Linked DNA regions of Saccharomyces cerevisiae S288C. Changing the gene in region 1 together with any one later gene gives a genetic interaction. Each region holds a gene or a part of one and is shown on either strand. Other genes may lie near its edges. The genes, in order: ASI1 and YPR096C.

What was found.
Region 2: mutations in ASI1 (region 1) and YPR096C together harm fitness more than expected from each alone (negative genetic interaction), as found in Saccharomyces cerevisiae (2 studies listed by BioGRID).

Annotation. Positions count from the first base shown.
Region 1 is NC_001145.3:503,192-507,718, reverse strand, and holds ASI1 (putative ubiquitin-protein ligase ASI1), read right to left. Parts: upstream 2,387-4,527; coding exon 512-2,386; downstream 1-511. Other genes in the region: bifunctional phosphoribosylaminoimidazolecarboxamide formyltransferase/IMP cyclohydrolase ADE17, read left to right, coding at 1-217. UniProt on the Saccharomyces cerevisiae protein: E3 ubiquitin-protein ligase which transfers ubiquitin to substrates promoting their degradation.
Region 2 is NC_001148.4:724,035-726,734, forward strand, and holds YPR096C (uncharacterized protein), read right to left. Parts: upstream 1,111-2,700; coding exon 808-1,110; downstream 1-807. Other genes in the region: Arf family guanine nucleotide exchange factor SYT1, read right to left, coding at 1-683; LEC1 (Lec1p), read left to right, coding at 1,360-2,700.

The DNA.
Region 1 (4,527 bases):
AGAAGAAAGAAAGGAATGGTTGAGTAAATTAACCAACGTTTCTTTGTCATCGGATGCATTTTTCCCATTCCCAGACAATGTTTACAGAGCAGTTAAATCCGGTGTCAAATACATTGCCGCTCCATCTGGTTCTGTCATGGACAAGGTTGTATTTTCAGCTGCCGATTCATTCGATTTGGTTTACGTAGAGAACCCAATCCGTTTGTTCCACCATTAGATGGCATGAGTTCAGAGTCAATATGCCATAAATACAGAAATGACGGCAAATCGATGTATAGTTTATTCTTTCCTCCTCTAATGATATAATCGCCACTGACACTTTTATATATATACTAATGATACGATATGTTATAAGTACAATTTTAATTCGAACATTTCCCAAAGAAAAAAAACTTGATTTATTATTATGATGTTTATATGTGCAACACAGAAAGCTCTAGCTATAGTAATTAATGCTAGAGCTCCCAAACGAAAAACCTCTTTTAGATACCATGCAAAAGTTCTTAAACTATTATTTACTATCTGAAACAGGATGAACCTTACAGTACCCATGAACTTTACTCCTACAACATACGCAAGTGCTGAACCCACGTAAACCCAAAGAAATTCTGCAATCCTCGCAAATGGCAAAACATCGGCAGGGCCATAATACTGTATTTCTTTCATTGACTTTGCATACCGCGCAAGATAGATCAAAATCACTTTCTGTACCAAAAGTCTCATCTACTTCACTTAACTTTGTATCTAAGATAGACGCCCTTGTCAAAGTTTTATCTGACAGTAATTTTTGTTGAAGGATACGGCTAGTTGACATGATCCAATTATAATCAGTATGAACTTCATTATCTTCGGAAGAAAATAAATCCAGTAGGGCATCCCGAGTTTCGTTGAAAATCAGTGAATCTTCTTCCAAGTTTTCTTCATCAGAATCCCCCAGTGACTCAACTTCAGAAGGCTCGTAATCTTCAGAATACTCATCATCTGATGTGTTCAATAGTTCAAGTTCAATATCTTCTTTGTGGCCGGCACTATTATTGAGAGAGTTCGTTTTAGTTATCTTTAACATTTTTGATGGGTCGTTGTCGGGGATGTCCTCGTCCTTGTTATCTCTGAAGCCAAAGAATACTTGGCCTACAAGCTTCTTCATGATCCATATTATAGATTTTGGAAACATTAAAAAAAATCTTTGCTTTAATATTGATGAATTTTTCTTTGGGAAGCTGATGGAAGTGTTCTCTTTATACGGTTTAGAAAGTTCATTTAAATAACCGCTAATAAAAAATTTCTCATTAACATTATCCGGGATGTTAATAGCAGGAAATTCTCTTCGTATACCCTTTTCCATTAGTTCAGTTCCTGAGCATAATAATAGTGCGAATTTAGTGGCCATAGCAGAAAAATCTTCTTCTCCCGTGTAATTTAAGTATTTTTTCCAATTTCTACTGAGAGGGTAAAACTGTAAAAGTTCGCAAGAATTACGTGATTTTCCAAATGGATCCCATCTAATTAAGCATGATAATTTAAAAATCAGTAATGATAAGCAAATAATAGACACTGAAAACAGTTTTGGAAAGTGCCTAAATTTCACCGAAAATGGAAGGCTTTTCCAGCCGCCCTGCTTAACTCTTATCCCTAAGTAACAAATATGACAGAGGTTCATAATAGTACTAAAAAGTAGACGATAATTTCTAAGCCTGAAAATCTCCACCAAATGGATCAATATCCTGCTCAAAATAGCCATAGAACAGTCTATAATGTAATCAGGAGAATCTAAAAATTTAGTATTATTATTAGTCATTGTATAAAACTGAATCGAAAGTTCAAACAATGAATAGTCAGTGCCCTCCAAAGGGCTGGAATTCCGCATGATGGTAAATATGGTTTCGACACAATAAGAGTAAGCGAAAGCGTAGAATATATTCAGTAAAAATTTTTCTTGGGCAAAAGCAGGGTCGCCTAATATTTTGAAATCCTTACCCAAGGTCAGCGGACCTAAGGATACCATTGCTAATACAACTACTGCTGATACATGGAAAACATTACTCAACCATAACGGTAAAGTACGTCTGGAACCGTTGTTAAGGACGGCGTAAAATACAACGAACCGGTTCAGGACAATGGCGATTACAAAGCAAAATATGGCGTACGGGCTGAAAAAAAACCCTATTGTATCAAAAACAGACCTTAGAGTTGGGGGAATTTCTTCAGATTTAACGGTTTGCTCGTACTGCAAGTTCACAGCCCCAATAAAGGATAATCCAAGTCTATAAGGAAAGTTGATAACATTTGCGAAAGTGGAGTTACCTGAGATTACGGCTTGTGATGTTTGATTCAAATAGCTAAATGAATTTATGAACACATTTTCTGAAGAAGTGGAAGAGTTCATATTCTTAGCATAGTTTCTTTGTAAAAAGAAGAAAAAAACCCAGATAAAATTAAGAAAAATACCCCAAAGTGCAAATTGTCTATAAAATATAAAAGTAAGCAGTGATTATCTTCTTGAGTTAAAATTGTTGTGTGGTGAAAGAGTAATTTTAGTACTTCCTTCTATTTTTCTGTTCAAAACAATATAGTTTTCGTAATTGTGTTTTATTGTATTTTCCAATGTTTTTCATATTGCTTACTCAACTGACTTCAAAGTTTGATTCGTAGCTTCTCAATATTTCAACATAAAGGGGCGCCCTCAAAGGAATACGCGAGAAAAAAATAATGGTTGCTAAGAGATTCGAACTCTTGCATCTTACGATACCTGAGTATTCCCACAGTTAACTGCGGTCAAGATATTTCTTGAATCAGGCGCCTTAGACCGCTCGGCCAAACAACCACTTATCTGTTGAAAAGGTGTGACTATAGCAACTATAAGTTGTTATGAGTTGAATAGAATTTAAACTCATTATGGGATAAGCTGCTCGTCTATGCATTGGTAAAAGCACCTCGTTAATATGTAAAGGTCAAAAGGTCATATCAGCGAATAATAAATTTGGATCTTCCTATACTATATAAGAGAGGTTCACTGAACGCAGTCCGATCGGTTTATTATTTGAGATATAGGTGAATTTTGAGATAATTGTTGGGATTCCATTGTTGATAAAAGATTATAATATTAGGTAAACAGAATATACTAAAAGTTCTCCACGAGGACATAGGAATCCTCAAAATGGAATGTATATTTTTACATACTAATATTACGATTATCCCTCTTTCTATTTTATATGTTTCATTATCCTATCATATTATCAATCTTTGCATTTCAGCTTCTTCTAACTTTGATGACAGCTTCTCATAATTTATATCATCATCTAACACCGTCTATGATAATATATTGATAATATAACTACTAGTTGATAGACGGTAGTGGATTTTTATTCCAACATTATTAATCGTGACTAATATAACAAGTTCTCTGGTGGTTACCATATATTTAATGTAAAGACTCGCATGACACATATATATGACTACCACATAAATGTTTAATTTGAAAAAACTTCAGCTCTACTAAGGTACCTGTTGAAAATATCGAAATCCACAAGGACAATAATTTTGCTTGGTAATATTATTATTTTTCTTCCATTGTTTATGTTGATAATTAGAGGTTAAAAATTAGTATTAATGAAGAAGTGAGTACTGATCTTCTTATACTAAATAAGAGAGGTATATAAAACACACGCCGATTGGTCATATTAATTATGACCAATATAATAGTGATTCCGGTAGTTACTATACATTGATGTGACGACTCATATTCCTCATATATGTACCTACCATAACATGTTCAACTAATAGGTCTTTAACACAGCTTCAGTATTGTCTGAGCTTCTCGTTTAACATTCCTTCTGCAATAGGCGCAATCACACTTAAACGTATACGAGTTGTACATTAATATACGATGTAAGCATTAGATTGTTACCATAGCAACTCATGTCACTATTAATTACTCTCGTTCCAACAGTTTATTATATTATCAACCCTGTTTTTCATCTTCCATGGAATTTGGTAACTGCTCCTCACCGATTTATGTCATCTTGCTATTATATGGTAATATACCAAATGTGAAGGTATGCAATTGATATTTTTAGATTTTACCTTTTGGCAAAAAATCAGCACATTAGCAATAAGAAACCGTTTTATCGTTTTGTTCATTTTAATGACTTCACGGAAATTACTAGTTATTAATAGTATTTTACTCGTGAAAGATAATAATCCTTCCAATGATGATTACACTCAAGATACCCTTAAGATTTTTTGGCGTCCATAGAAAACTTCACTATTTATAGAAAATCCTGAGTGCTTCTTTCTTTGTTTATATACTCTGTCATCCACTATTCTACGTGAATATTGTGCGAATATTTTGATAATTGTGAACTCCATTGTTGATCAAAGGCTATAATGTTGTGTATACAGAATATAATAGAAGTTCCTCTCGAAGATATAAGAGTCCTCATAATGGAATCGGTATTTCTACATAATATCACTACTTTTTTTTTGTCCTTCCGCTTTATATGTTTCGTTATCCTATCACATTATCAA
Region 2 (2,700 bases), on another chromosome or scaffold:
GCTCTTTTGGACGGATTGAAATATCTTGAAGCCGCTGTAGAGGAACCGACGGAAGAAGATGTCGATATCCTACTCACAGTAGGAAGAGTAGGAACTAATCTATCACCGTTAAACAGGGTAGGCTCTTGTGATTTTCTGTAATCTCTTGACAATCTATTAGAAGAAGGAAATTTTTCTAGAGCAGGTTTCACAGGAATGAATGGGGCGTGTTTTGAATTTCTCTTTACGTTATCAGACCCGGAGCTAGTAAGCGTGACTCTCTCACCATCGGGCTTGGGAACTTTCTCTATCGAATCTATGTTGTTTTCTGATTTGAAAGGCATTTCTTCAGGATCTTGTCCATTACGGAGGTGTTGTGCAACCAAGATTTCATCATCTTCAGAACCCTTTTCATTGGCTGACCTGAAATTCAAGTCTAACCTACCCATCTTACGCCGTATCCTGCTTAGTTTGCTGTGTTTTTTTGTGGGCTCGCATTCTTTTACATCAAGTTTATCGTCGTCATTATTAGTGTGTTCCTGTATTTCTGCGAGTTGAAGAAAAGGACTTCTATAACTTTCCGACTCTCTTAATTTATCTATGCCTGTTGAAACATTGCTTCCGCCCTTTTTGTTGCCATTTTTATCGTTACTGTGTGATTGAAGGAATTTAAGCTTAATCAACGAAGAAATAGACTGATTCATTATCTGGCAAGTGTGGATTGAAGAGCTGGTCTGGCGGGAAGTTAGCGAAAATGAAGTTACAATGAGTTGAAACAGAGTAAATAATAGGGAGTGGATGCGAGTAACCTTGCGATGTCAAAAGAATTCAAAGTACTATATCTACTGCCTTTCTTTCCACTTGGTGCCTTTTACCCTGAAAGTCTAATGAGCAGGTAGTATAAGAGAAGCAGCTTCTGAAGAAGAGTTCTTTGTACAATAAACCGGCCTTGTGGTGCGAGAGAGGCTTGTAATATAGATTATACTGAAGCCTGTTGAACTTAGCGTCTATTTTCTTTTCGTTCCCTATATCACTTTTCCTAATATTTTCAACATCTCCTTTACGCCAAAAACAAGAAAAAGGACGAGATGGCCTTGGGTTTTTAATGCTTACGCCTGTTTCGCCTCTCATAAGACAGATAAATGTACGTTAACCATTTGACAGTTAACTTTTTAGGCGTGAACAAGGAACGTATTAAAGTGTTTTTCGAATAATTGATCACTTTCTAGCTTTCATTCTTTTTTAAGAGCTACATCCAATTACTGTGCATTGGGCTCTATAAAAAAAGAAAAACGAACCTTACCTTGTGGTCGGAATTGTGTACTGAAATCAGTGGTTGAAGATAATTGTACTAAAGAATCAAAAATAGACAGTCTTCAAATGATTACTCAAGACACTCCTGCTTTAAATCCAACGGAAGAACACTACCTGAAGAGGGAACTGCTTCGATGTCAATTGGATTATGAAATTGGAAAGCTTAACGATCAGTTTGCTTTGAGAAAGTTCGGTTATCCTTTCTCACCAAACGATCCGACAGCTCCACAGCCTATCTCCAATAACGATTCATCACCAGTGCTCGGTGGCAAAGGCCATTTTAGCGTTAATTATCCCATGCTGAGTTATGTTTTGCAAGAATTTATATCCACATTTCCTTTACTTTCAACAAATTTGCTAGTTGATGAAAAATTCTGGCAGAGTAAGGTTCAAGTGTTCTTTGAACATTTCATGAGTCTTGGGTTTAGTGAAAGTTATGACAGGGAGGAAGCTTCAAAAAGGAAGAAAGTTTCCAAAAAGCTATCAAAGGTTATCTTGTTGCTCTTTAACTCCGGTGTTGGCTCTTTTCAAGAGCAAGCGTATTATAATGAGGATAAATTCGTTTTACAGTCAGGCCAAGCGAGAAAACGCTCTAATATTGAGAAATTTGCAATGCCAACTAGAGAAAATTTAGAGAATTTGCTCACTAACGAATCCGTTTTTATTAACGGTTGGGACGTCAATATTATATCCGTGTTCAATAAGAATTCACGGAAATGTACTGAAAGTGTGGATAATGACAAGTCTAGTAAATCTACTCCAACTTCGAGTCCCAAAAGCCATGCTATAAAATCATTTGCTTCCACTTCTAAATGGATGAAGAATGCCTTCAACAACACTATTAACAGTACCATAAATAGTATGCCCGAATCCTCAGCATCTTTATTTTCGAAATTATCCCTTGGCGTGCCTTCAACTAAGAGCAAGCAATCTAGAAAACATCATTATTTCTTGATTAAGATTAAGAAGCAAGATGACGACGACCAAGATAACAGCAATGAAGAGAATAGTAATCTTGATCACCATGCTGGTTATTTCTATGTGACAAGAACATACAGCGACTTCAAAAAACTATCTCATGATTTAAAATCAGAATTTCCGGGGAAGAAATGTCCGCGCTTACCTCATAGAAATAAAAAAGTGACGTCTATGATAACTAAAACCGAAGTGTTACACAATGGGCAAACTAAATCAGCAGCCAGGGAAAAAATCGTCAACACTTTTGACACTGATTTACAATCTGCATCAGAGTCTGATAATTCTTCATTTTTACAGACAACGAATGAATTATCTGCTACAGAAACAGTACTCACAGAAAAAGAAACTGAAACGTTGAGAAAAAATATTCTAAATGAGATCAAGGAAGAAGATAATATTGATGAGGACGAGTATGAGGAAGAAGGTGAA